Struthio camelus: one gene and its partners. The protein of the gene in region 1 interacts with the protein of each later gene in a pairwise test. Links are inferred from orthologs where the notes say so. Each region holds a gene or a part of one and is shown on either strand. Other genes may lie near its edges.

Evidence for each region.
Region 2: the proteins of SPRED1 (region 1) and NCALD interact in binary tests that used the Homo sapiens proteins (3 or more experiments, as listed by UniProt). The link is inferred for Struthio camelus from reciprocal best matches to the Homo sapiens genes SPRED1 and NCALD.
Region 3: the proteins of SPRED1 (region 1) and HPCAL4 interact in binary tests that used the Homo sapiens proteins (3 or more experiments, as listed by UniProt). The link is inferred for Struthio camelus from reciprocal best matches to the Homo sapiens genes SPRED1 and HPCAL4.
Region 4: the proteins of SPRED1 (region 1) and IL16 interact in binary tests that used the Homo sapiens proteins (3 or more experiments, as listed by UniProt). The link is inferred for Struthio camelus from reciprocal best matches to the Homo sapiens genes SPRED1 and IL16.

Annotation. Positions count from the first base shown.
Region 1 is NC_090946.1:48,961,464-48,968,717, forward strand, and holds the start of SPRED1 (sprouty-related, EVH1 domain-containing protein 1), read right to left. Parts: upstream 3,012-7,254; 5' UTR 2,764-3,011; coding exon 2,732-2,763; intron 1-2,731. UniProt on the Homo sapiens protein: Tyrosine kinase substrate that inhibits growth-factor-mediated activation of MAP kinase. Negatively regulates hematopoiesis of bone marrow.
Region 2 is NC_090943.1:145,636,404-145,644,374, forward strand, and holds the start of NCALD (neurocalcin-delta), read left to right. Parts: upstream 1-4,970; 5' UTR 4,971-5,116; intron 5,117-7,971. UniProt on the Homo sapiens protein: May be involved in the calcium-dependent regulation of rhodopsin phosphorylation. Binds three calcium ions.
Region 3 is NC_090964.1:8,065,697-8,072,877, reverse strand, and holds the start of HPCAL4 (hippocalcin-like protein 4), read right to left. Parts: upstream 3,016-7,181; 5' UTR 2,911-3,015; intron 624-2,910; 5' UTR 616-623; coding exon 454-615; intron 250-453; coding exon 34-249; intron 1-33. UniProt on the Homo sapiens protein: May be involved in the calcium-dependent regulation of rhodopsin phosphorylation.
Region 4 is NC_090953.1:10,891,375-10,898,205, forward strand, and holds the start of IL16 (pro-interleukin-16), read left to right. Parts: upstream 1-3,815; 5' UTR 3,816-3,819; coding exon 3,820-3,869; intron 3,870-6,229; exon of another isoform or gene 6,230-6,831. UniProt on the Homo sapiens protein: Interleukin-16 stimulates a migratory response in CD4+ lymphocytes, monocytes, and eosinophils. Primes CD4+ T-cells for IL-2 and IL-15 responsiveness. Also induces T-lymphocyte expression of interleukin 2 receptor. Ligand for CD4.

The DNA of each region.
Region 1 (7,254 bases):
CAAAGGAAACTGAGAAGATAAATATTTTCTTATATTTCAGTTAGAACTACTTTTAATAGTCTAACAACTGAAGGAAAAGAAAAAAGAAAAAATCGTATAGGAAAAAGTACTGATGTTGATAGTGCTTTGCAAGGTTAAATACATTTAGTTGCATATAAAGCATAGAATTATCTCACATTAAATATTGTGGTGTGAACTTTCCTTTGTCATTTTAAGTAAAGGTTAGAAATCTTTCAGGTATTCTCTTTGCTTACATTAATGACAAAACTGCCATTCCAAAAAGCACAGGATTAAGGATCACATTAGTATAATTTGTTAAGATAATGAAATAGTGTGTTTGTGAGCAGTGAACATCACCATTTTAACACTGGCAACTGCAAATTAGTTAGATCAAACAATAATACGGTCTGCTTTAGTGATCTTTCATCACTAAGTTTCATTCAATGTTTTTTGAACAATGATTTCAAAATTTTTAAAACTAGAACTAATGCATTGACCTTTAAATAGCTTATGCCATCTTAAAATATTTTTCTCTTATTCTGTTGTAAAGATTTCTTCAGCCACAGTGCAGGTTAAACAGAAAAATGTTGATACCTAATCTGCCATAAAATTCTCAAAGAAAACAGACAAAAAAAAATGACTGCATTCCTGATTTCCATCCACTTAGCAGTCTTACAGATTACCTGTATTTTATAAGACATAATGTTTTCAGAAGTATTCTTAGGTATGACTGACTTGGTAATATGGAAAACAGATTTTGTGGTTATTACTTCTGTGCCAGGCTGATAGCACGCACATGCTGATTAGCATTGTTCAATACAATGTCTATTCCCATAAAGTGATTAGCCCACTGTCTTGAAGTCATGTTCATACTACTTTGTTTTTCATTATTTTGAGTCACTATTTCTGGAAGTGAAAATTTTCTAACGTTTGCTGAATAAAACATTTCTGTGCTTAAATGTTAGAATGTAGCAGGAAAAGGTATTTCTGACCTAATGCTCCTTTATATTAAAAAGGAACACAAACCATAAAAATAACTTCCCCCTAATTTTACAGTAACTTCTCCGTGCACACACTTATGAGCTGCTTATCTACTGCATGCTAAGACAAACCTCCTGGTCTGTCTGTCTCTCCCTTCTTATGCAGGTCTAATCTGCAACTCTGCTCAATGCAGACACTGTACTGCACTGTGAATGGACAGCCAGGTATTTTATGAATGGAGCCGATCACGTGCTCCCAGCACCTCCCCGAGCTGATATTTCCCACATAACTGTGTCAACAAGCAGTGAACAGCATATTTTAATACAGCAGGTCCTCAAAAATCTTCATCCACAATCTGCTTGCTACGGTCCACTCTCACATACAAGAAACGAGCTTTACACACTTTGCAGGGCAGGTTTTATTGCAGGTCAGCGGTGATGACAGTAATTTTTTTTTTGGTTTTTATGAATGGAGATTGTGGTATGCAAATTAGAACGATTCACAAAAAAGAAAATATGGCGGCGGCTTCAGCTTCCAGCTCCACTGACACTGCAGCAATTCACCTTCCCACACAGCCCTCGGTGCACGCAGCCCCGCAGACCGCGGCGGAGCCTTCCGAGCGCCCTTTTACTCCAGAAGGATTTACCAGCATTTGCCTTCGATGATCAAAACCTCTTCGCTAGGAAGCTTTTATTAAGGTGTGAATGTTTTATTTTGAGAAATGCGTTAAAATGAAAAATCCGTTTTTTCCAACCAAGTAAAGGAGGCTTTTCTTCTCTTATCCTATCTATCTGCCCTTTATCAAGCTAGTGTTTATTAAAAAAATGAAAGACAAAGGACGCAATGGTCCTTTACCGTTACCAAGAGCTGTCTCGGCATTATGATCTGTCACATCATTCATAAAATAAGCTACAGCAAATACCTACATCGCAAATCGTTATGCCCAAGCTCAGAGACTGTAGTAATCAGCCTTAAACGCCTCCATGCACTTAAACTTTCTGAGAATAAAAAAGTTTCAAAATACTTTATATTTCTGTTTCTCAATGCCATAAAGAATTCCGATGTTTTCTGAAAAATATTCATCTCCTCCCACCCGAAATTTATTTTTAAGACAAACTAAACGCACAGAGATACACCCGCACGCATACACTTTCTCCTCTGGATTTCCTCCAAACCAGTCACATTAAAAGATATTAAAAGATCCTTGAACTGTCCCCTTCCTCTTTTAAAAAAAGAAGTCCCAAGTGCTCATTAAAAAAAAAAAAAAAAGGCTTTAGGGTAGGTTTAAGCTGTATTTACACTGACTGACTCATCCAATTAAAATTCAGGAGCAGTTTCCTGCAGGATGGAGCTCCCACACACTAGTTTCCATGTGAAATATCTACAAGCAAAGGATATTACCAGAGGTGGTATGTGCCGATATCTCTTCGGCTCTCCGAAATCCACCCCTCCCCCCTCCCCCTCCATTCAAGACACCAGCACTACCTGCGCCGTTTTGTACAACGTTTTAATTCAACCACGCTGCCCTGGACGGCGGCTCTCGGCCCCAATAAAACAAGCTCCCTCACAAAGAGAGCGCTCCTGGGCTTCCACACAGGCAAGCGCCAACGCGCAGCACACACAGATGCGTGCACACACGCGTGTCCCCCGGGTGCACACACGCAGGCACACTGCGGACGGCGGGGCCGCACGGACAGCACACACGCGAGACCGCGGCAGCGCGCGGAGGCCGCGGAGCACCGCTGCTTACTCGTTGTTAGAAGCCGCCGTCTCTTCGCTCATTTTTTCCTCACCGTGATGCGATGCGGGGACGGAGCAGCACCGACGCAGCCAGGGCGCAGCGAGAACTCACCAGAAACTTCACCATCGTTGAGCCCCCGGATCGGCCTCCCCGAGCGAGCACACGAGCAACGTCCTGCCGCGAGGGAAGGCAAGGGAAGGAAGCGGGGGAGCGAGCGAGCGAGCGTTATCCCAGAGGCACCAAATCCGGTTGTCCAGCGCCGGAGCGCTCTTCCCCGCCCGCCGGGAGCAGCGGCGGCGGCGGCGGCGGCCGGGGCGCAGCAGGCGGGCGCCTAGCGGGGAGCGGCGCGGCGGGGCCGGGGGAAGGCGCCCGGCCGTTGGGCGCTGCGCCGCCCGCGCCGCCCGCCGCCGCTCATCTCCCGCGGCCGCCGCCGCCCTGCGGCGCGCTCGGCCCCCGCGGCGGGCGGGCAGCGGGGGCAGCACGCAGTCCTCCGGGCAGGGCGCGGGGGCAGCGCGGGTCGCTCCTGCCCGCCGCCCTCCAGCGACGCCGGGCGCTGCAGCGGCAGAAGGCGCCGGTCCCACGGAGAAGGCTGGCGGCGGGGGGAGGGAGGCGTTTTAAACCAGGCTGGGGGCGGGGGGGGGGGGCTGAGGGGAGCGGGGATGCGTCACGGCTGTTTGTGTGAGGAGGGAAAAGGGGGGTGGGGGGAGGCAGGGAAGCGGCCGGGCCACGGGAGAAGCCCCCCCGGCGGCGGAGTTGGGGGAGGAGGGGGGAAGCGAGAGAAAGCCTGCGGGGAAGTTCAGCGGCAGCGCTCCCTCCCCGGCAACAACTCCTCTCGCGGCGGCGGCGGCGGCGGCAGTCTCGGCGCGGCCCCTCTCCGCCGCCTCCGCCTCCTCCTCCGCCTCCTCACAGGAAAACTGGGCGGAAGCGTTGACTTCAAGCTCCTTCCGCCGCCACAGCTTGAGCCAAAATAACCACGGGCGCGAGCGGAGCGGGGGGGAAGGAAGAGAGCGAGGAAGAAGGCGCTGCCCCGGGCGCGGCGCCGGCCGCCGAGCAGCCCCGCAGCCGCCTCCCCTCGCCGCCGGCCGCTGCGCTGCGCCCGAGTTTCCTGAAAGTAGTCCCGCCCCCCGGCCGCGGCTCACGCGCGCCCGAGGAGCCGCCGCCGCCGCCGCACACGCACGCACGCACGGCGGCGGCGCGGAGGGATACGCGCGGTCGGGCGCGGCGGCCGCCCTCCCTTCGTGCTCCGCCGCTGCGCGGCAAAGAGTTCGGCGGCGGCCGCTGCGGGGCGAGGGGCGGCGGCGGGAGGTCCGCGCCAGGCGCTGTGCAGCGCGGGGGGGCCGGGCCGGGCCGGACCCGCCTGCGGCTTTATGGGCGGTGAGCTGCGCTTCCGCGCGGCGCTGCGTGGGCGGCCCGCGCCGCGGGGCGTTTTGGGGGACAGGATCGCTGTCCCCCACCCGCCGCGGCCCCACGGCGGCAGAAACGCGGCGGCCGCAGAGGTCCAGGGGTGCCTCCGCGGGAAGCCCTAGGCTGGGCTGTCACTTTTTTCCACTTTTTTTTTCTTTTTTTGACCGAAGTGGATGTAACTCTTTAAGTACGTAGCAGCAGTAGCGCCAGAGCCTCTGCTGTTCACTGCTGGGAAGCGCCGGGGGGTTCATGAAACGGATCCCGGTGCCGTGTTTTCCGTAGCAAGTGTTCCTACCCAATTCTCTCAGATTTTCGTTAATATCACCACTTACCAGAAGCGCCCTGACCCAAGAAATACGGTCAGGTTGCTGCGGATCTTCCCTACTTTTGAATCAGGTCATTTAATGCTGCCGTGGAGGTGGCATCTCCGAGGATGTGCTGCTCGGTTCACCTGCTCGCTTGGGAAGAGAAGCTCGTTTGTGGCCCGTTGGCCAACGGTGTAACTCTGGAAGCCGTTTCGGTGGGCGATGGCGCAGGAGGATGGGTGAAACGCCGCCTCGGCTTCCCCGCCTGCAGCCGGCGCGCAGCGCGCTGCCACCGCCGTGGCTGCAGCTGGCCCAGGTGGGCAGGGAAATCAGTGAGCAGCCGCAGCGCGGCCCTCGTTCCCCTTTTCAGGAGTTTACACGGTAACATGCTACTTGATCCGATGGCAAAGTGGAGCAGTATTGCCAGCCCTGAGGACTCAAAAATCATGAGTCAGACCATGAAGTAAATTAGATTATAATACAGGATTATATTGTGGTTTTGTCCGTTGCTTGGATTTTGAGTTCCCCCTGCCTGGTCTTTGTATGTGTGCCTGTCAGCTGATACAGCCCATTGTCCCAACTTTATCGAGTAAAATATTGTGGTGCTACTGGAAGAGATATCACTTTCTCCCTAACGCACTTTCCTTCTTCCCAGCCTCCAATGTACCTCCTCACTTTTTCCTAGCTACTGTGCGAGAGCCCTCTCTGTCAGCTCTAATCCCATTTCCTTTTTTTTCTGCAGCTGCTGGATTTCTTCCCAACTCTTAAGGTATCATGGAGAAGGAGCAGAGATGGGCTGTTTTGTCTTCCTGTTTGAAAAGATGGGGCCAGCTCCCTTGGAGATAATAATGTGTGATTCCCACACTAATGTTGATTGGCTGCTTTTCCCAAGGAAGGGAGAGACTGGAGCATGCTGTCAATCAGGAGGAGTTTTGACCATTTTGAGAGTAGCTGGAGTGCCTCATGTCACCCTAGGCCAGACTGTGAAATTGCAGCATCTGTCTGAATGCACTGAATCAGGGCAGTATTGCGTTTATCAAGGGTATTTGTTTACAGAAATCTTCCTTTTTACACAAAGTTGAAAGTACAGTTTGTCTTTGGGACTTAACAGTGATGTCCAGAATTTTTTCCTGAAGACTTTTTCCTTTTCTTGATGATTGAAAACAGTAAGAAAATGTTGTAGTGAGGAAAGCTTGTACAGTGTCTTTTTTTTTTTTGTGAGTTAAACCATTTTAAACATAATCTATTTTTGTCTTATATAGCATGCAAGGAAGGGCATATTCTATTTATAGACAGTTTATGTTTATTGTAATATTCCTATGGATAGCAATTCCACATGTCTATAAAAGGATTCTAACGAGCACACTGGAACAATCATAGTAAACTGCTATTGCGCTTTCTCTAACATGTCTCAAGTAGCACACATCTCAAACATGCAATAATAATACTTGTTTCCTTATCTGGGAGGCTTTTGGAGGAATAATTAGTAATTGTTTTGTAAGAACATTTTTCTAAAATGGTACTCAAAAATGGATCTGTTATTCATTGCATGTTTTCATCTAAATGCTAAAAATACATTAGAAACCCAGTTTTGTACAATACTTTTACAATTCAACTGACATGAATCAAAATGAGTATCTGAATCACAGGATCCACAAAAAGTGTTTTGAAACTTAAGTTGTAGGGACATAATATTATTCTACTGAGCAATTAGTTTTTTTTAGGGTACTTTCTTGTTAATCTAATCCTTATTTTCTACTGGCTTCAAAGTGGAAATATTTAACTTTCTGTAAGCTAATAATTTATTAAGATCATTTGATTAATACGATCCAGTGCAAGAATGCTCAGGAGCTAGCTCAGTGTGTCAGATGGTGGTACTGCTCTATGCAGAAGCAACTCAAGCGTGCCTGAAGGTGCCAGGGAAGAGCATTAATCTGATTGGGTTTTTTTGATTCCTTAAATGTATTTATTGTAAAAATGTCTTTTTACATGTGAATAACATGAACCGTTTTGTAGTATACCACAAGTAGGGAAGGCTTCAAATAATCTCACTCTTCTAACCCTAAGGTTTTCAAGAACATCTGTATTAAGAATAAAAATAAATAAATATCAGCTACTAAGTGATAATGTGAGATGCATCCTATATAGCTTTTACTTGACTACATGGAGGAGATAAGGGGAGAAAGACCCACTGCTTCTTCACCTGTGCCAGCTCTTCAGCTTCTGCACACAGTCGCATGCTGCAATATACGTAGCAGAGGTCTTGCAAGTAGTTTCTGTTCCTTTATCTGAATGTCATGAAGAGGGCAGAAAATCTGCCTTAGTCGGTGTCATGATTTTGAAATCCTGATAATTTCTTTTTTACCTCTGCCTAGGCTGAAAAAATTAAAGAGCGTAATCCTGGAATACCAGAGTTGGCTTTAGCCAAGCAGCAGGTGATTTGAGGGCCTTCCAATGTTCTTTTTGGAAGAAAAATAAGCAGTCAGGTGTTTTTAATGTAAATGGCTTATTTTCAAAGTAAACATGAGTCCTGCCTGTGCCAACAAGGCAGAAATGGACTAGGAACAAGTGACACCCTTCAGAAAGCACAGTCAAATGATCACTTCATGTCCCAAGCATCAAATGCTTCGGGGTCTTGTCTTTCTTCACAAGTTACACAAACTCAACTAGATTTAAGTACATTCTTAGGGCTTTTTTACTTTCTGTCATTGTGGACTTTACAGTTGAAATGTCCTGAGCTGAGTGCTGGATGACCTGTATATGATCTGGGAAAAATAACTGAAAACGTGAAAGCTTCTGGTACTTTTCACCAGAATGCACACG
Region 2 (7,971 bases), on another chromosome or scaffold:
TCTGTGTCATTTCAAAAAAAAGAAAAAAGGTCATTTTTTAAAAATTTATATGACTTTTTAAAAGGATGGCCTTTTTAAGATTCCCTTGATATATCTGCTGTGATTGCCGACTTCAAACAATGACCCGGATACTACTACTTTTTTAAAGACTACATTAGTGTTTTAAGAAAGCAAGCTATGTGTTTGCCTCATATTATGGTATTTTGATCTGAAAACCAGATGAGGTATCACTCTATGTATATATGTTGCTATAAATTATTTTCATGGTTTGTATTTTCATGTTTATAGATTTGATCTAGAGTAAATACTCTTTCCTTTTTTCCTGCTGCAGAAAGAGTAATAAGTGAATTTGGAAAGATGTCAATAGGCTATGAGCTGTACAGTCTTATTAAGCCTAAGGATACAGTTTGATATCCCCATTAACCTGGGTTTTGTCTGAAGCAGTTTTCACTCTGATTGCCAACATGATGCCTACTGGTAGAAGTTTTAAGACAAAAATCATATATATTTGATTTACAGCTGTTATTAAATAGGTCAGTGTACCTTGAATGGTCCTTGGAAAGGCAAGCCTGTAAATAATGGAGTAAAAACACATCCTATAGTTTGGCTTGTGCAGCCTGCTTTTCCCTGCTTCTCTTAACAAGTGCCTTACTAAGAAGCCTGTGGCTGGGCTGAGTTGCAGCCAGCATCGGAAACTGGAACAGCTGGCTCTGGGTATTGGCTTTGCTCTCACCATTGTACTGGGTGATTTGATATTCTCCCCTTCTCAGTTTCACCTGAGCATTGATGGTGTGAGAAGGCATATCATTCCCGGGTATTATCTCTTGAGGTACTACAAACATGTGACCTGAGCTGTAAGGAAACCCCATAACGTATTGAGGTACTTTCAGAATTGCATGTTTAATGTGACCCATTGAAATGTCGTGAGAGAGCTTTTTTAGCATAAGGTATTAAACCCTTTTAAAAACAAATCTCAAAGTAGTATGGGTTATCAACATTTTGCAAATGACTGCTGTATGGTTTTTGGTGTGTTCCAGTGCCTGAAAACTTTTTAATTTCCTGATAACAGGCACAGAGAATAGAGCAGCTGAAAAACGGCTAATACGCTATAGCGATACTTGGGATGAAAAAGATAGTATTCATTTGTAGGTGAATTATTTGCAATTAGATAGGCTCACTTTTTTTTTTCCTCAAAGGTGAAGAAAGTGTATATGAACTAGATGATGGGTTCTGTTTTATTAAATCCAAGCATTTTTTCATAATATCCAGCACTTCATGTAAGAGCTTTTATAAGCGTCTGTCTTGTTGTTCCAAATGTCTTGTGCCGCTTTCAATATGCCTGGCCTAAGATGAGCTGACAGTTTAGGATTATCAGTGATGGAATGATACAAATTTATTTCCCTGCCAGCCCAGATGAGCCACGGCCCAGGCTATCTGAGTTCCTTCAGATAGATCTGTCGCGTGAGCATGGTTCCTAGTGAACAATTATCCCTGGGGTAAAAATAAGCAGCAAAACTAGCTCTTGCTTTTTCTTTGGTCTCAGCAAAAGATCATAATTTCTTAATGAGCATAAAAACAGGACAGCTCTTTTTCCTAGAGAATAGCATGCCTCATTTGCTATAAAGTATGTGGAGGGCAGGGGGGGGCCTGAAGAGTACAAGAAAAAGCTGGAACTGGTGTCACTCAGTAATGTCCTGCAATTGCAGAAGACCTGCAGGCTCCAGAGAGACAACCTAGCGCCTTTTGCAAATATTGTGTTGATGTGGGGGAAAGACAGGTCTACTGGAGAAATGGAACCTGTTTATAGTCACTAAAAGTAATAAAAACCATTTTTTTTTGGTGTTGTGACTTAAGATGAGAGTATACAAAATATGTAAAAGTTTCATATTTGAATGTCCTCAGGTTCTCTAAATGTATATGAGATACCAAAGTGTGGTTACAACCCCATTCCCCCATATATGTGTAAAATATTTATATAGTTTCAATAAAACTTGAACATGGAGAGGAATATACCTTTGTTTGTTAGTTCTGTGCTTTATTGTGAAATCTAAAATAAAATTAGGCCATGTCAGAGTAACCTGGTGTTTACAGCTTTTGGCTTGTGGGAGAAAGTTCCCTGTGCTCCATACACTGTCTTGCACTTGTGTGCTCTCCACTTGACCTTTCTTCTTCTGGGGAATGGGGTTTGCAGTCTAGGGAACTGAAAAAAAAAATTTATTTTTTCTGGGTCAAGGAGAAATTCTTGGGAGCCCCTTTAGATTCAAAGAAGAAACACTCCAGAGCTGTAATGTCGCTGGGTGCTGTTGGATAGCTGGGATGGGAGAGGAGCTACCCCTCCACCTCTCCTGGGCATGCTGGTACATACCCCTTGCTCCAGGTAGCAGCCTGGAAAGCTTGTTGCCTGTTGTTTGGGGTTAAAATGACCTTGTTCTCTGTGGCAAAGAGGTGGCTGAAGCTGTGATCTTTTCTAGGACGCCAGGAGCCATAAATTGGTATGTATGAGGGCCACCTCATGCCTGCAGTCCCCCACAAGCCTCTCCTGACCAATGGCAGAGGCTGGGTCCAGCGAAGCGCAGGGGCAGCTCCTGCCTGCCGGGGCATACTGTGGGCTGCCGGGACACAGGCTGAAGATGCCTATGGGAGCTGGCAGGGTGAGCCTGGCAAGTAGCATAAAAAAACATGTAATAACAGCCGCTCCCGTGCAGGGACCTCACTAACCCATAGGAGATACCAGAGGAAATGCAAGTGCGGCCCCTTGTTGGATGTGAGAGGTGCCTGAGGGAAGCTGCAGACTCCATCCTGTGACGGAGGGACAGGTTAAATACCGTTTGTGGCACCTGAGCCATCCCTCGCGCCACGAGCGCCAGCAGCAGAGTTGCGCAGCACCCTCCAATCCCCGGTGAGGTGCTGCTGCTTGCCCAAACTGGCTCAGTTCTGTGGGGCCTGCCTGGACCGCTGTCTTCCCCCAGCACTTGCACAACCTCCCTGCATCTGTTTCCCTCCCCGAGGGTGCCAGCTGTGGGGCTGGGCACCCTGGGTGCATCCATGCGCAGCGTTGGGGGGGCCCGGCCCCCTACCTGAGTGTCTGCTCCTCGGCTGTCGCGGCCCTGGTGGGGCCTTCTCGAGCCAAGAGGATCCCGCCTCCCGAAATCCAAAACTGCCTTTGTAGCTCCCACTGTTTTCATTCAAGCAGAGAAATTTGGGCCTTAGCAAAGGTGATGCTGATGAGCACCAGCCACAAGCACTAAATAAAACCTGAGGGCTCTGCGCCCAGCCCTGTCCTCTGCTCAGCTGCCTGCCGCATGCAAGGACCGTGGCGCTCAGAGGGGCATCAGCTGGTCCTGGTTCTTGCTGGGAAAAAGAAGAAAGTAGGTGAAGACAGGGCAATTAGCAAGCTTTTGATAAACTATTCTTGACAGCTCCTAGTTTATATTGCTGGAACGGTAAGATTTGTTATAGGCAGTTAGGATGTCCGGTGTGTGGCAGCACACCTCAAACTGCAGCTATACCCTGGCAGCTGACAGTGCACAAATCTAATCCCGCTGCGTTTTTCTTCCTCGCCTCTGACTGTTATTAAACCGCCTTCCTGGCCCTCCCCAGCATCCCACTGCTGTCAGCAGAGCTTCTCTGTGCTGAGCGGCTGAACGGGGCTGGTTTTCCTCCTGGTGGAGCCCTCGAGTCATCAAATCCTCATGTCGCAGCCAGCAGGTTCTCCAGAGCTTCTGGGAGAGACACAGTCACCCAACAGTCATATGTTAGTATTAGAAGTAGCTCAGCATGCGTTTGCCGGGAGGATGTCTGTGTGACTGGGAGGGCTGATATCTGCACTAAGCCATGCAGAGGTAGACACATGCATGTATTTATGCATATATAAGAAAAAAATATAAATATATACAATCATAGAAGTCCGGTACACACTTATAAAAGAAGACTTGAGGAGAGAAGACTACAAATGCCAGCTTTTATCAAACCCTCTCCCTGCAATGGAAGGGTGACATGATCAGCTCAATATCGCTGGAAGAAGCCCTGTTTCTGGTCTGCCGGGAGCCCCCGCAAGCTGCTCTGAGCCCCCGCACCTTGTCCCAGCCCAGGAGCCTAGGTTGCCTGCGCCGGGGCGGGGGTCAGGGCTCTGGCAGCAGATTGTGCTGCTAACCAAAATCCTAAGGTAAGATTTTTCAACACAGGCAAATCCTGGGAATGGCTCCGTTTGTCCTGTATAGAGTGCGTGTAGCTGTTTCCGAGAGCAGCAGCTTCAGGCTTTGGGTGGTGGAGAGAAAGCAAGTCCCAGTTCAGCTTTCTCACGTGCGCGTGGAGAGGCAGCTCTGTTGGGTCCTGCAGCTGTAGAGGGGCTATCAAAAACTAAAGAAAAGTCCATGGCCAGCTCAGTTTGCAGGACATGTTTGCACAGCTGCTGCAGAGACAGAGTCAGGAATTCCCTGTTGCAGTTTTGACCTTTCTAATGGACTAAAAGAGGATCTGTGAGTGACAGGCTCAGGATCCATATGACAAGCAGCAGTGCGGAAGGGAAAGCAGGAGCAAATTCCACTGCTGCTTGTGAAGCTTGGCTGTCCGGGGGCTCATTCACTGCAGATCCTTACTCCTCTCAAATCTGCTTCAGCAGCTCACCCGGGGTTGTATCCCCCAAAGGATCTGCTGTTTCTTTGCATGTACCATTCATCATGACATTGGCTCTAGAAGAGCTGCTGGTGAATTCACATGCACAAATCTTTATTGTCAGGCTCTTTTTTTTGCTGTACCCTATAGTTCGGTTAATGTTACTCTGCAAATGGCCCTGGCTAGCTGCTCTAATGGCAGTACTGTGTTCGATAGCGCTGAGGACGGCCCATGCCATGGAGGTGGACGCTGCACAGGCAGCTCCAGCTTTCTGAAGGGTGCAGTGCAACTTCTGTAAGTGGCTGCCTCAGGCTCTTAGTGAGAGAGGAAAGCAGCTGCAGGGCGCTGCGCGGAGCAGCTCATCATGGAGGCAGAGGAAGCGACCACAGTCCTGCCACGGCAGATGGCCGCCCTTGCACCCTGTGCGCCGGCGATGCAGGGTGCTTGGTATTGCAACAGACAGCATGGGATCCTTTCACGAGCGCTGCAGAGGCGTGAGGAGGTAATCACCAATACTGAGATTAGCAGATTAATGGAAAGAAGGTATTTTCAATGCTTCTGGGGTTTCACAACTGGGGACCAGCTCTTGCTCCTGTCCCTCTGGTGCCCAATGAATGTCAAAAAAAGTCTTTGCTGTGCACAGCGCTAATTCCTAGATGGGTTGTTACGTGACCTGGTCAAAACCTCTTCCTAAAAGCCCTTCCTAAATGCCATGCAACACCTCCTGCTCCATGGCCACACAGAGAAGGAAGCGGCTGGGATGTAGCCAGGAGGTCTGGGCGGCTGCTTTTCAGTCTGCTCTGTGTGACTGTTGGTTTAGTGATACAGTGACCGTTCAGCTGTGGCTCATGCTGACGTCCTGCCTTGCTTGGACTCAGCTCCTGATAAGCTGCCTTCCAGGAAGCCTTGCCTTGAAGCACACAGGAAACGGTGTCAGATACAAGATCTGCAGTGCAGCAACCGCGGGCAGATGCTGGCAAGCCACACGTGTGCTAGTCCCAGCCTGGGCTGGAGCAGCCTGCACACTGATGTGGCTGGAGCAGTTTCAGGGGCTTTTCCTCTGCCAGTTATAACCAACAAGGTCCTATCTCAGAGTCTCCATAAATTGTTCGTTTTAGAGAGGAAGCTTCCAAAATCAGACTGCAGACTCTGGGCAAACAGCAGAATAGTTGATGTGATTTTTTTTTTTTCTCGGCAGTTGGCAGAGCCAGGAAGAGTGTTAAGAACAAGTCTTAGTGTGCAAATAGTTTTTAATCATTTGATGAAAGCCTCTGGCACCGCAGGCTAAAATTCAGAGCTGCATGAAAACTTTGGCTGCCCAAGAAAGTTTCTTAGCACAGCTCCAAATTTTGTTCTGCCAACCCCTTCCCTGCAGTGCAGTGTTGAACAAAGATGCATTTCAAAATAGATCAAATTCAAGTTATTTTACAAGGAAATGAAAGATGTGTTAACCAGTGACCTTAAAATGCAGGAAGTTGTTTAATCTCTGCATTTCATAGGGGGCTCTTTGGGTTTGCTACTAAACAGCCTGCACAGCACCTGTTATGTGCTCATGGTGGTAACCTGTGCTGGCCTGTGCCTGGGGGATTTTCAGAGTTTGGACCGTTTGACTACTCCTATAGTCAGTTTTGAACAATTAATTCAATGAAGACTGAGGTTATGTCTGCTGTCTCCTGGAAGACAAGTACCATCAAAGAAGCGAAACTTCTAGTTCTTCATTAATTCACTTTCTTTGGTAGCATTTTGGATGATTGATGGGATTGATGGAAAGGTGTTATGGGCTTCGGTTGACTCAGGACATGAGTACGGAGTTAACTGAGGTCCCGCTCCATGCCAGAGCAAAGTGTGTCTTGGTGAGAGGCGTGGAGGGTCTAGAGTGGGTGCACCTGCCTGCGGGGACATCCCAACACAGAAGTCTTGTGCCTTTCTCCAGGAAAGGTGCTGCGGCTGGCTGAGTAATGGCAGTCTGCAGCACGGCTGAGCTGCAACGTACAAAACACCAGGCAGATCTGTGTCGCCCTGCCTGAGCTGGGGCTCTCCGACAAAATACTCTGAGAACATCTCCTGGGGCTCTACAACATCCCTGGCTCTTCTGAGTCCCAAGCTCACAAGCAGGCAAGGCCCAGGGAAAGGCCAGGTGCTCCTGAGCAGCGGGGAAATGCCTATGAGTAGGATGAGTCTGAAAGCCAAAGATGCGTGGGAGCATCTGGCAGTGGGAGCAGCAGGCAGGCAGTTCAGCCTGTTGACTTGACGCTGGCAATTGTGTGACAAAAAATGCTCATCACACACAGACTTGGGCAGTCGTTCGTGTCCTGCGCTTGCTTTCCCAATGGCACCATCACCCTGACTCTGAGGGACTCAGCCTGATGGTGGATAGCATAAACATTGCGCAGCCAACAGAGGCAGCGAACAGAGGCAGCAGTTTGCGCAGCAGTGTCTGGGCTCTGCCTGGGCCTTTTGTGGGCCTTGTTGGAAGTTGTGGAGACTTTCTGGGGACCCCCAAGGAACTAGACGGTGCTTGCTGCTAGCAGGAAGGGAGAGCTGGGCAAGGACTCCTGCAGGGGACCTTGACTTAACTTCTCCTGGGAAGCTCTAGCCAGGTGGGGCTGCTGCTAACGAGCTCTCTGGGCTGCCCTGGTCAGAGGAAGGTTTTGTTTCAGGTGGCTCCTGATTGGGTGGGTCGAGCACCCTTGTGAGTCACTGCTAGGCAGAGGCCTATATAAGAGCCAGGCCTAGAGCACAGCTCCCAGAGTGCAGCCAACAGAGGCAGTGGACAGATGCAGCAGTTTGTGCAGAAGGGTGCCAGAAGGCAAAGGTGGCACCTCTCCGTTTTGCACAGTGGTGTGTCCTTCCCCGGGGCATGGTCATGACACGCCGCAGAGCACATTCCCCAGTGGCTGCTGGAGGTGCTGCATCGGCTGTGTCTGAGGCTTCAACCCAGACAGACCCTCAGACAGCAGATGCAGCCTTGCAGGTGTCAGGCTGCAGGGAGTGCCTGGGGCCCCTCCATGGGGCCTGGGCTGACAGTCAGCTCTGCTGTGTGAGGTGTGCTGTGGCTGACCAGTTGCATCACCAGATAAGGGAGTTACGGGAGGAGGTTGGTAGGCTGCGTAGCATCCGAGAGGATGAGCAGGAGATTGACAGGGCGTTCTCGGAGACTGTTCAGCTCCAGGAGTCCCCTGCCCCCACTGCAGCGGAGTTGTCAGAGGGCTCAGCACTGTGTGTAAAGGTGCATCATAACGCTGTTGAAGAGGGCTGGAAGCTGGTGACCTCTCGTAGAAGGAGAAAGGCTCTTGCTCCTCCTCAAGACTTACTCTTGAAGAACAAGCTTAGCGCCCTCCAAGCTGAGGAGCAGCT
Region 3 (7,181 bases), on another chromosome or scaffold:
CCGCCACCACATATAGCCCCACATCACCAGTACCTCGATGATCTCCAGCATCTCCAACCGCGTGATCTTCCCATCTCCATCCAGGTCGTACATTTCGAAGGCCCAGTTGAGTTTCTGCTCAAAGGTCCCCCTGGAGGTGACAGACAGGGCACAGATGAACTCCCGGAAGTCAATGGTCCCGTCACCGTTCTTGTCGAAGGTGCGGAAAGCATGCTGGGCGAACTTAGAAGCGTCTCCGTAGGGGAAAAACTGCAGGGAGGAGAGAAGAGAGAGATCTAAACGGGGAGGGGAGCTCATCGTGGAGGATAGACATCACATCCTCAGGGCAGCAGTGCCCTGAAGCAGCCCGCTGGCCCAGGAGCTCAGCAATGCCATAACCACAGGGCTAGGGACTGGCTGCCATCCCTGGGAACTGCATTGGGACCACAGGCCCCGTCCCATGGCGAGGCCCACCTTGATGTAGAGCTGCTGGAACTCCTCCAGGTTGAGGATGCCAGTGGGACAGTCCTTCAGGAAGCCTTTGTACCACTGCTTCAGCTCCTGCTCGCTGAACTCTGTGCTCCTCACCAGGTCGTCCAGCATCTCCGGCGCCAGCTTACTGTTTTGTTTCCCCATCGCTGACTCTGGAAGAGGAAACGCACAGCTCCTTCATGCTGGGAACAGGGAAAGCTGGTGCTCCTCAGGCAGCGTGACACCTGCCAATCCCGTGTGCCTCATCTGCTGCAATGAGCCAATCCAGCCGGCTCGTTACATGGCTACCGTTGGTGAATGCTGGGACAGTGACTGCAGCACCAAGGCCAGGCTTGGTGCCATGACCCTTCCTGCTGGAGCAGGGCAGGGGCCCACCACTGTGGCCAGCAGTATGACCCTCAGTTCTCCTGTCACCTTGGCTGCCTCCTCTGTGCTGCAGCAGAAATGCTCAGAAAGAGACTGAGGACCCAGGAAAACTCATCACAGGCTTTACCAGCTCATGATGTTCAGCTGCCCTCCATGAGGCAGGACAAAGAAACAGTGACAAGCACCCCTGAGTCTTTGCTTGCCTGGCGAGGGCTGCGAGGGTGCCCAGGAGCACGGGTCCCCGCTGCTTGCATTAAAGGAGGTAGAAACCTCACCAGCACCATCTGACCTGCAGCACCCAGGCAGCCGCAGCGACACGGCCCAAGCCGAACGGAGGCGTTTGAGGGCATCAGCCAGCCCCGGGCAAGAACGGGTCTCTGCCACCACGCAGCCCCTCTGCGCAAGCCTCCCCGCAGCGCGGCGCGCCAGGGCCCTGCGAGGCAGCCGCTGCGTAGGCAGAGCGCGAATCTGCTCCGAATACGCTCCGTGCCTGCTCCCACACAGCCTTGGCTGCCGGCCGCTGCTCCGGCGCAGCGACAGATGGTGAGCCAAGAGGATCCTGCAGTTTCTCTCTCAATGAAGTTGAGTAGAAGTTCACCTGGAGACCAACCAAGCCACAACTCCGCTCCACATGTCCGGCTTCCCGGCCACAGGGACTTGCAGATTTTCCCCCCGCACAGCCCCTTGGGGTCCTTCTCTTCTCTGCATCGGGGGCACCGGGGCTGGGCACAAGCCTCCCTCCCCAGCGCCCCAGGGCTGCTCCCCGAGCTCACGTTCAGCCCCACTCTTAGCTAATCCCTCCAGCAGAGGCTGCTTCCTGCTCCACCATCCCACCAGCATCTGTCACCAGTCTGCTGCGGCGAGACTTAACCAACTGCCTTTTGGCAATCAGAGCCCCGGGAACTCGGAGACACCACAGAGAAGAGTGGCAAAAGCCTCCCCGCCGATCCCAGGGCACGCTTGTGGAGTTAAGCCCTACCGGCACCGCAGCCCTGCTCGGCGAGTGATCTGCAGGCACCCATTAATCCTTCCATGTCCTGAACAGTGCAAGGGGGGAGAGGTGTTTTACTCATCTTCCAAAGGGTGGGATTTTGTGGACAGCGGGGACAGTAATCCCTCCCCACCAGGTACCATGCTCATGTCTTCCTCTTCCTCCTGCATCTCCCTCCGGCCCCGCTGGACCACGACCACGTTGCCCTGCACAACGGCTAGCGAGAGGCAGCTTTCCCCAGAAGGGAACAGCAACAGGGACCTTTGCCACAAGCACCCCACCTAAAGGGCTCCCACCCTGTGAGGCCAGGGCACGAGAAGCTGCTTTGGTCCAAAGACCTCGATTCCTATTTCCAAGCAGGACCCAGAGCACAGAGCTGCCAAGCTGCAGGGCAGAGGGCCGGATCCTGCCCTCAGAGGTGATGAGGGGCAAGTCTTGGGGTGACAGCTGAAGTAGCAGCTGTGCCACAGCAGGGCCCTGAGGCAGGGGGCACAGAGAGGGGTGGCTATGGTTGCCCCCCACCCAGCTATCGTCCCTTGGCAGACAAAAGACCCAGAGAGGCACCTCCAGCATCCCCGTGAGCCAGCACTATACGGGAGGAGATGGGAAGGAGTGTGGGACCCCGGTCTTACGGGAAGGATGGGGCCGGGTTCAGCCGAGCCCGGACCAGGGGGGAAGCAGCCCCTGGGGCTGCAGGGCCAGCTCTGCCCACGCCGGGGGACGTGCACGGGGACAGCCCAGGGCACCGGGCTGAGCCCACTGGAACCGGCTCCCGGAGGCACCTGCCCCACGGCACCCCACACCGGGGAGGGTGGGGGGCCAAGACAGGACCCGTCTCAGCCCCGACGGCTGCCCTGCTCCCCAAGGACGCCCCGACGGGAGCACCGCTCCTGCGAGGACCGGCTCCCGGGGGCACCGGCTCCCAACCCCGACGGGAGCTTCCTCCCGGGGGCACCGACCTCATCCCTGACGGCAGCCCCACTCCCGTGGGGACAGGCTCCCGAAGGGACCGGCTCCAGCCCCGACGGCCGCCCCGCTCCCGGGCAGGACGGCGACGGCTCCCGGCCCCGACGGCCGCTTACCTGGAAGAGGGCGCGGGCGGGCGGAGGCGGCTCGGCGGGGCCCGGGCCGGGAAGCGGTGCCGGTGCCGGTGCCGGTGCCGGTGCCGGTGCCGGTGCCGGGAGGGGCCGCTCCCGTCCCCCCCGCCCTGCTCTGCGCCCCCCCCCCGCCCCGCTCCCGCCCCTCTTGTCACCGCGGGCGGCCCGCCCCTCCCGGCCACGGCACACCATTGGCTGGGAGCGCTGTCAATCAGCCGGGGGGCTCGGGGGGGCCCGTGGGAGCGGGGCTCGGTGGAGAATACTGGGGTGGGATACTGGGACGGGGATGCTGGGACGGGGATACTGCGGTGGGAATGATGGGGTGGGAATGCTGGGACTGGGATGCTGGGATTGGGATAGTGGGATGGGGATGCTGGGGTGGGGGATGCTGGGACTGGGATAGTGGGATGGGGATACTGGAGTGGGGATGCTGGGACTGAGACAGTGGGACAGGGATGCTGGGACTGAGATAATGGGAGAGGGATGCTGGGGTGGGATGCTGGGAGCAGGAACACGACGGGTTCAGGGATTTCGCTGCGCTGACTGTCCAGCGTAGACTACCCTCCCGCCAGCCCTGGCAAACTCTCCCGCTCTGTTCCCCAGCTCCTTCCCCTGCCCAGCACTTGGCTCCGTGCATCTCCCTGGCTGCAGGGCTGAGCTGCTTCGTAGTGCCTCCTCCTTCTCCTCGGCGCTCCCCTCGCTCTGCCCAGCTCTGGCTCCAGGCCCCGGCAGCGAGGCCCCAGATGATCCCAGATCACCCCAAACTCCCTTCCCCTGATGTGGTCCTAGGCTGCAGGAGCTGGGGGGGCTGCACAGCCTCCTCATGCCAAATATCTGAGCAAAAGGCCCCGGGGGCTGCCCCCACCTTGGGGCTAAGGGATGGGGCTTGCTGCTTCCTGCAAGGAGGAATCGCAGCTGAGATGCAGGGGGCCAAGGGAGAAGAAAACCACCCTGATTTCCAGAAGCAAATGCTATGCGTTTCCATGGCGACCGCGGCTGCTTTTCCCGGTGACCTTGGCCATCCCGCCGCGCTGCGGATTCCCAGCGCCGCCGAGCCGTTTGCCACCAGCCACATGGCAGCTGCTGCCGGCAGGCCGGGAAGGAAGGTCCCATGCAGCCGGGGCTGGGGCAGGCGCTGCCCGGCGGCACGGGGCCGCTGCGGTCCGGGGGCCTCACAAACCCTCCTGCCCTCTGGCAAACCCCAGGGCAGGGGCTTTTTGGGGGCTGCCGGCTGCTGCAAGGAGCTGCTCCTCAGCCCAGCCAGCTGCCCATCGCCTCCCCTCCGCCTGCCGGAGGAAGAAAGGACATTTTATTGGTATGTGCCTCCCTGCTAGCTGCAGGAATCTGCAGAAACTGCCCCGGCCAAAGCAGAGTGGGATGGTTTATAAAAAGACACAAATGTTTGCAGCCTTTTACACACAGTGCAGCTGCAGGAACCCACCACCGCCAGCCCCAAGACAGGGAGCTGGGACCCCCCCCTCTGCCAGACACAGCCTCCCAGGTCATCCAAACCCCTGCCCAGGGCTCCACAGGGCAGCCCCTCACCCCGGGGGTGATTTGGGGTCTCCCCAGCACTGGACGCCTGGCCTCAAAGCCTGTCCATGAGCCTCTCTGAGGGCTCAGAGGGAAGAGACCTCCCGCTCCGTGCTGGGCAATCCTCTGCCATTTATTCCGTGCTTAAGTAGAGAAGACATCAATTAGTGCCACTGCAAACTTGCCTCTCTCAGGATGCTCCGAGGGACTGAAAAATTAATGAGGGCTTAATTGAAGCAGAGCAGCAGCAGAGCCTGGCGAGGAGCAGGGCCCCACGCTGCCCTGGCGCCAGGTGCTGCCGTGCTGTAGCTGCCGCCGGGGGCTTTCCCTGGGCCAGCGTGGCCCAGGCTGGATGGGGGGGTGCTGGGCAGCAGCCCCCAGCCCCGCAGCCAGGCCCCGTGCACTTGCGGGCGGAGGTGATGCAGCCGCAACTTTGCTGCCTTCCCTGAGCTGCTGCGGTGTCCCCAGATGGGTCCCCTGGTTGCAGCATCGAACGACGTGATGTTACCGAAGCAAAACGCGGCGACGCTTCCCAGCTGCTTCCAGGCGGCAGCTGCAGCCGTGGGAGCCTTCGGCACAGGGTTTCCCAGTTTGGCAGGATGGGAAAGCCAACTCCGACGCCAGCACTGCTGGCAGGAGCAGCAAACACCACCCTGGCAGCAAAATCCTGGCCAGAGACAGTGCCCTCTGCTCGCTGGTGCTGTGCTGGGGACTGCATCCAGCGGGGGCCTGGCCTTTGCCACGGCCACAGAGTTACTGTCAGGAAGGTGCTTCTCTATCTCAGGGAGCAATGAATTAATAAAGTGAGTGAGTGTTTTAAGGCAAAACTGCATGGCCTTTGCCCCCGGTGCTCCATGAAGCAGCAGCCAGTGGGAGCCGACGAACGGCCCTGCAGGGACAGGGATTTGCAAGCACGATGCTGGCACGTTTCCTTACGTCTTTCAACAGGGCGGCACAGCAAAGCCGGGGATGGTCCCGTGCTGGAGGAGCAGGCTTGGGGCTGTGATGCTGAGCACCGCGTGCCCTCGGCCGCTCACCAAGGCCCTGCAGCTCCGTGGCAGCCCAGAGCTGGGGTGGGCGGCTTAACCTCTGCCTTCCCAGGGAGGCAGTTAACACTCTTATAAAGACCAAATTCCCCCTCCGTGTCAGCAGACATGACCCAGTAGCAGTAGATTTAAGGCAGGGCATCGCAAAGCCTGCCGAAACCCAATGCGCTCAGCGGGGCCGGCACAAGCTCCAGGGAGGAGTTTGAGAGCAGCACCTGCAGGCCCTGGACCTCGCTCGGTCACCCCGGCTGCCATGCAGCCAGCAGGGGCTGAGACCGTCACAGCTCAGCTCATGGAACCAGGTGCGTCCAAGGAGCCCAAGGGCAGCTGGAAGAGGCAGGGGAGCGCCAGGCCGAGCATGCGACGGGGGCACCCTGGGGCAAGGGCAGATGCCAGGCTCCGGTGTGCCCTGGGCCAGGCTGTCCCCGGGGGGCATCACCTTTGCAATCATCGCTGGAGCACGGAGCCGCTTTGCTGCCCGCTCCCGCTGCGGCATTGCTCCTGCTCCGTGCTCCCGGGGTGCAGAGCTGCCAGGGCCTTGCTGGGTTCCTAAAAAACAGCTTCTCCGGTGACGCTGCTTAATGCAAAGGGCTGCAGCTTCCCCCAGCGGCTACAGGCTGCACCAGCATGTCTCGGGGGGCTGTGCCCAGGCAGGGGGGCCGGGGACCCGGCAGCGCGGCTCCCCCAGCTCGGCCAGGAGCTCCCCAAAGGCGTGGGCCCCAGCCCGGGGCCCCAGTGCCAGGAAGCCCCCCTGTTTAAGGAACATGCCCCATATGAGCCGCCCGAGACTCCCTGTGGGAGCACTGCTTCGCTGCGGGGCCGCGCACGGGCGCTCCCGCCGCCGCCTTGCTGCATCGCCTTCGCGCGGCCAGGAAGCCATTGGCAGAGCCGGCAAAGGAGAGCGAGCCTGGTCTCTCCTCTCCCACCCCGGGGAAGGCGTTTGCACTAATTGCCAGCTATAAATAGCTCTTTGAGATGCTCAGAGCACCAGGAAACATTGAACCACTGCTGCTCGCCCCCAGCCTCCCTAGACAACCCTCCCCTTCGCGTTACGCCACCCAAGCACCCAGAGCCGTCCTTCGAGACACGGCTGGGAAAGGAGGTGGCGAGCTGGGAATGGGTGAGGGCGCTGGAGCCAGGCTGGCCCTCGGCGACAGCCCCAGCCCCGATGTGCCCTGGCCGTGCTGGGGGATCTGCGCTGGGCACGGGACGCGTGGCAGCACGTCTCGGGGAGCGTGTATCTGGAGGGGACCCAGGGTTTGGGGCTGAGCTGCAGCTTGCAGAATTTCAGATCGAAACCCAGCTTTCGCTCTTGCTTGCTTGCTTCCTACTTGGCCAGTTGCAGGGTCACTCAAGGGAGGGCAGCTGCAACCTAAAGCCACCCATGACCAGGACACTCACACACCTGGGAGCAGCCGATCTGGCAGCGCTCTGGACACAGGGGTTTCTCTTGGTCCTCTTCTGTTTGAACCCTGAGGTGTCACAACCCTGGTGGCTTGTTGCTGCAGGGATGGACAGACAGCAGGTCTGCAGAGAGCTAGAGAGGTAGAGAAGCATCTCCAGTCACCCCCGTGCTCCTCTTGGGAAGACCCACAGTGGGTTGTTGTCCCAGGGGGAAATGGCCCCAAGCAGCTGGGAGCTGAGTCCGGAGCGAGAGCTGGGAGGGGACCCCAGCCC
Region 4 (6,831 bases), on another chromosome or scaffold:
TGAAAGGAATTAGAACGAGATTTACCTCATCTGACATAATGCAATACTTACGTGTTATGGGCAGTTTGCAGCTTCTGCTAAAAACAGCGCTATCCAATCATAATGTAAAAAGCCTCAACAACTTTGGAACACATACAAAACCTCAGAGTGCCAGCCTACTCTAACCAAGAAGGTGCTAGGAGGAAACTCTTCCCGAAAGCGAGTTCTCTCTTAATTGCTTTTTAGCAAGGCAATTCCTTTGAAGCAATAGCTATAGGCCATTGCTAGAGAAGGATACTGAATTAAGGATATTGTTTATACTGTGACTCAGTGTGCCAGTTCCTATGTTGCTATGTTTTGATGGATGGAAGGGCAGAGTGAAAGCTGTAAAACCCAAGACACAGATGACTAATTCAGTCCTGGCTTAGCAGCAGCGAGGGGATGGTTGTCCTGTGCAATGTAACTTGTTGTCTGGAATATGGTAACGTGTGAAAATTGTCACTGTGTTTAAGGCACAACTACTTCATTGGTTTGCTGAGCCATGTAAGGACAGGACAAAATTGAGACTATCTCAAACTCTCTCTCTTATTAACACATGGAGTATTTGAAGTTGGGTGGAGATCAAAACTGGAGCTAAGTTCCATCATTACTTAGATTTGCTTTGCACAGTACTAATGTTGTGTTTAAGTTTATATGCTCCTTTTTCGGGAAAGGTTATCACTAGCAGCAACAGGCAAAACATTTAGTACAGAACAGCCTGTATATCTAAAATCTAAACTTTGGATTTGGAAAATAATTTGGGGGAAAAGAGGGATCCGTTCCTGCATCTGCTATGGTACCAGACTCATCCTGCTTTCAGTCATGCAAAAAAATTAGTCATAAAAAAATGAGTCCAAGGACTACTTTAAGTCCGTTTCCCATCTCCAATATAGACTAACTCCACTTGTCAGAAAAGGGTCTCCATTAAGGGGAAACTATGACCTATCCCAGGCCAGATGTACCACCCTACCTGTAAATGGTAAAGTTTGACTTTTATTCTGAAGCAAGTTGCTGCCCCTTAAACATGTTACTCCCTTTAACTGTGGCTACTATTTTCATCTACTCACTCCTTGGGGTGAAATCTGTGTCCCACTGAAATCAAAGGCAAAATAGCTAACTTCAAAGGGCTCATGATTTCTGCTCTCTTCTTGCTCCATGCATTAATTATGCTACAGATTGTATTTCCTTTTATTTGTTTGGACTCTTTTTTTTCTGCTACATTCTTCTTTTCCTGTTGCTTTCACAAAAAGACAGTAAGGGAATACAGCTGATTTTCCTTATATTGCCTATTATTTCATAAATCTCTGTCAAGGCAACTCCTTTCTGTAAAGGAGAGTCCACATCACTTCAATCTTTTCATACAAAATTCCAGCCTCTGATCAATGTTCACTGCCTTTTTTCTGGTATGATATCTTTGAGCTAAGTAATGAAGACTGACCACAAGATCCAATATCAAAGCATACCATTACTACAACATGGCAGGCACAGCAGAGGTTCTCTTTCTTTCTCCTTTTTCCTTATGGCTTCTAAAAATGCGCTTTTCTGTTCACCACTGGGCACTGACAATTACTGTACAGAGATGAAAAAAGCTGCAAAAGGTTAGAGTGAAACATCATGAAAAACAGTCCCTCCTTGTGATATTTATGTTTCTGCTGCTGGCCTTGGCAGAAGTCCAGATTCTGCATGAACAAAACTCCCAAAGGCTTAAGGACTACAGAATTTAGCCCATAGTCAGGAAGCACAATAACATGTGACAATGGGAAGAAATAAAAAATAGCTTTCCAATGCTTTTGAGCTTCCAACTCGATCAGTTTGGATCAAAACCCAGGGGCTGTTAAGATTCTGTGTGAATGAGTTCTCTATTGCTAAACAAAAGCATGTGTGTGTTACCGTGTAAGACAGTTAAGTGGTAAACAATATGTGGCTTCGTTTTCTCATTGATATTTCATTTTACAGAACCAGCACTATAAAATCCCAATTTATATAGCAGGCCGCTGTCTTCTCTATTCAAATACAGTGATGAACCGCTTCAGAAAACACAAAATCAACTCCCTAATTCTCCTTCTTTCCAGGAAAGCTACCTGATACCCAGTGTTCACTACTCAGCGCCAAAGCATGGTTCTTCTACAAAAATGAGAAGTTAAAATCGTAGGGTAATGCTCCATGTTTACTATCATCCAGTAACTCAGGTTAAAACTGTCCCCTTTACATTAGATGTCCGTTGGTTAACTGATACCATGAAAACTTCTTAGTTGGGAAAGCAATACTGAATTCTCATCTTTTTTTAAACACTTAAAATATAAATTAGCCACAATTATATTATCAAGGACAGAAGGTGTCACTGCTACTGTAGATGACGTGCAGAGCAGAGCAGAGAGAGTTTTGCTTTTTGTCCCATCAGTTTTGCTTTTTGTCCCACTTGTAATTCTCACGTGGCAGTCGCCTGTCTTCACAGCCTACATTTTTAGATATCTAGAGGTTACAGGAGACCAATAAACATGAGTCCGTGTCAGCAAAATATTTCAAACCCATTTTATACTTTCTCTCTTTTGTGAATTTAGTGACAGACCAGTAAAACTGGGATCTTAGAGCCACAGAACACAGAGAGGGTAGCAGGTGTCTAAGCACTCTCTTGTTGACCATTTCCATGACCAGATGGGGCCAGGTGTAAAATTCAGGTTTCTATTTACATTTTCCAGAAATGTATAGGTTTTATAGGTTGTGGGAAAATTCCAAAGAGGCCTCTCTATTTCAATAAAACTAACATTAACTGTTTCAGAGACAATTCTTTTTGTTTTGGGATTTCTTTTTTTTTTTTAATTTACAAACTCCCTATGTATCTCGTGCCTACCTTACACTTAAAGCAGTCACAAAAATTCACTGAGAGAAAGTAGGTTTCTGAAGCAAGATTGTGTCTTGTCAGTGTGTGAGCAGAGCTGGGGGTTGACAGGCAGGAAAAGAGCAGCCTCTGTGTATTAGATGAAAACCAGCTGAGCATGCCTAGGGATGTGGTAGAAAGGCAGCTGACTGTTCCCACCAGCAATGGTCAATGCAGCTCACCGGTGCTGGCTGAGAGAAGTTGCCACAATAGTAGATCGGACTGTGAACCTTTTACTTTGCAGAAAAAGAAAGCTATAACAGAAGGAACTGGGAATCCAAGGCATAGTTCTCATTCCCTGGGATGCTCCACAGAAAGCGTAACAATTTACTGGGCCTTTGATCACGTTGGATCACAAGTTACAATCTAGCCCATAAGGAGACGAGTGTGCAAGAATTAGTAGGTTGAAGAGACCATGTCATTTCAAGGTGAACAATACAAGGGCTTGGCATTCAAAAGTGGCTCCTATTGTTTTTTGCTCCCGGAGCAGAAGTAGCCTATGAAATTCTTACTAGCTTAATGCTTAAAATATCTGCTGAAAATTATGAGAAACATGCTGGCCGTCTCGTCTCGGCCTCCAGCAGGAAATCCTGCACTTGATTAGCATCGATTTTCCTCCCTCTCACAGTAAGCCTAACATGCCTGAACCCCATCAATCCTAGGACCAGAGTGTGATGGGTAGAAACAAATGACACAGACTCCTTAAATGGTCTTTTCTTCCTTGGGTAGCGGGAAGCTTGCTGGAAACAGTTCCCCCAATACTGCATCCCATTGCTTTTGTTTATCTATCCTTGCTGACATTTTCTTCAATTAGGAAACAATAGCTCCGTTCCAATGTGCTGAGCAGAATTACTGAAACTGAGTCACGTGATATCATGAGGGTGTGTTTTCAATTATTCACTCTGTCTTTTTTTGCCAGGCCTATGAAGAGGAACAGCCTTCTGCAGAAGTCAGGTTTGCCTGCCTCGCTGTTGTAAGTTCCTCCTTTTGAATTTTTATTCTGCAATAAGTATAGGGTTTTTTTTTTTCAATAGTAAATCCAACTCTCCTAAAGTGCCTTTCTCTTTGTTAGAAAACTTCCAGATCTCTAGTTCTTCCTATTGCCTGGAAATCCTAGACATCTGCAATAGTTCAGTGTAATAGTATTGCTCAGGACTGAATCTGACAAAGATCACAAGATCTAGATTAAAAGGGGATGCAAGATATCATGCTGTTAGCACTTAGTAATATAAAACTCATCTTGTTCTTGCTAGCAAAGCACAGATCTAACTCTCCCACTGAGTGTTTAACAGCAGAGCACTACCATTCAATCTGGGAGCTACACCAAATTATTTATATCTTGTAAATGCTCGGTTTAATATACAACCAAAAATCTGAACCAAATGGGCACAGCTCAAATTATGTATTTTGTTTGCAGAGGACAGATTGAGTTAGGGCTTTTTAAACTTAAAGCTGGAAAAATAAAGCTTGAGGAAAAAAAAAAGAAAAAGAGAAGGAACATTTGGTTTGCATTACAAACCACAGACAACTTCCATCAGGCGCAGTGGAGGTATAGGAATGGCAAGAGAAAATGACAAGCAGCGAGTGCACTGAAAAGAAAGATGAATGGCTTGGAGAATTGACTTTGAAGTAATTGTCCATGCCCACAATACCTTGAATTAAATTTAGTGGAAGATGGCAATGAATCATAGGGCTTCTCTGGCACTGGCAATGCTATTTTCTGTGTAAAATAACATTTCTGGATATTTATATTGGGAAACTTACAGACTGTGTTTTTGGTGCCTCCTATATTTCTGTCACTTATGCAACCCCAAATCAGAAGCTCTGTAAAGGATGCAGCCTTAGTCAAGGCTTGGGCTGTGATCTGATACTTAGAGCAAGCATTTAAATGGAAGTCACCAGGTCTACAGGGTTTATTTTCAGCTCAGTCACTGGCTTGCTTTGAGATACTAGGTAAGTCATTCAGGGTTAAATTTGGTCTTTGAGAGGTGATTAAGCTCTAGGGGAGGGAGGGAAGGGGAAAGGAGCTGACACAGCAGGGCAGAAAAGATTTTCTCTCTGCATAAGACAGAATTCCTCAGGAGACATTGCATGGAGGGTGGGATGGCAGGGTGCACTTAGAATTGTGTTTCCTTTACTGTTTCAACAGGTGCTTCTGCATGTTCCCTGCATCCCAGATGCTTAACGCTAGTTGGAGAGGCAACTTTCAGAGCATTTAGTGCTGATAGCAATGCTCCCTCTTAAGCTCTGCAGCTTCAGGTAGAATGAGAAAGGGGTCCTGCATCTGTCTGACCTTCATTCTAGCACATCAACCTCCAGAGGGCCATATTTCAATTATTAAACTATCTAGTCTTCTGCTTACCCACGTACTTAATGGTTCTGTTTCATTCTTTTAGGGGAGATAAGAGTGCATTTAATTTTTGTACAACATCAAAATCCTTGAATGAAAAGTTTCTTCTAATTTTCTCCCACAGGCAAGGTTGCTTAGGTCTGAATGCACAGCTCGGGCTAATTTCTGACACTGTTTTTGCTGGTATCTAACAGGGATTGACAGAATCACAGAAGAAGCAACAATCCCCATTGTAGACTTTAAAGCGATGCACATTGCACAGACCTGTAGCAAGTTAGCCCTGCTGCTTCCTGTTGAGATGCTGGGGAGAGGTACTCGTTAAGTTACTCCAATGTGTCAGCAAGGCATGAAGTTCTCCTTGTCCATCATACCGCCTTTTCAAGAGTATTCTGTTCTAATGGGACAGATTTCATTTTTCCCTTCCTCTAAAATATCTTCAGACATACATGAAAAGCAACATCAAGCTTTAGAAGATTAACTTCTTAACACACTGAGACTCTAACAGGGATTTCCCAATTCAAAAACTGCAATTAGGTGGGTGCATAATAAAGTATTCTAAAGTTCTGGGCTAACCAAAAAGCTAAAAATGGTCCTTTTTCACAAAATACAAACCAAAAAATCCCAAACCTTGAAAGTCCTTACATATTTGTAGGGATAAGTGTGAGACAGCTTTTAACTAATGCAAAGTAATCAACAGAAAAGCATATGAAAGATTGCAAACTTGTGAGGCTGAATTTCATCAGCAACAATTCCTTATTTCAGCTCTCAAAGTTATTATTCTGATGAAATTCATAGCACTTTTCATCTCTGTACTTCAAAATAATTTACAGAGTAGAGGTTCTGAAAAGTAACTTCTCTCAATTGTGCAGAAAGGGAGATTAATGCTAGAGAAATACGACACAAAGTCAAAGACAAAGTCCACGTGTTAAAGCTGAGCTCCATGTCATCCCTTTCCCCATCCCCTCTGGCCACTGAATCCTTACACAAAGGCTGAGATGTCCTTTCATTCAGCGTGCACTCTGTCACATGAATGGAGCGTGGCTGTGCTGTTGGGCAGTCCTCCATCCACACTGCGGCTGCGTTCGTCCATGGCTGCAAATCCTGTTGCTATTCATAAGAAAAGAGGCTACTCTGAAAAAAAGAAAACGAAACATGGGACGAAGAACATGCTGTGTACTGAAGAGAATGAGGGAGAATACGCTAGTTCAATTTGACCCTTTCCTTGTGCAAGTGTTGGGGAGGCTGGGAACCCAGTGAGTTTGGTTCCAGTGTTCCCACTCAGCAGGGCCAGACTCTCCCATAGCGACAGGGACGAGACGCTCCCAGTGGACACACAGGAGAGGGGCAGAACACCCACCAGCTCTGTTGAACTTGACATGTTCTCCCAAAACCTTCAACTTTGCCGTGGAATAGCGTTCTCCTGGGAAACCCAAAGAATTCCAGTGCGCAGGGCATAAGTTTCGGGAAGCACTAGAGATTTTGTTCGGGAAGAGAGACATTAGGGAGAAGAGCAATATTAGGATTGGTATGACAGAATATAAGTTATCCCTAAACTTTTGTAAGAGTATCACCTACCAAAAATGCC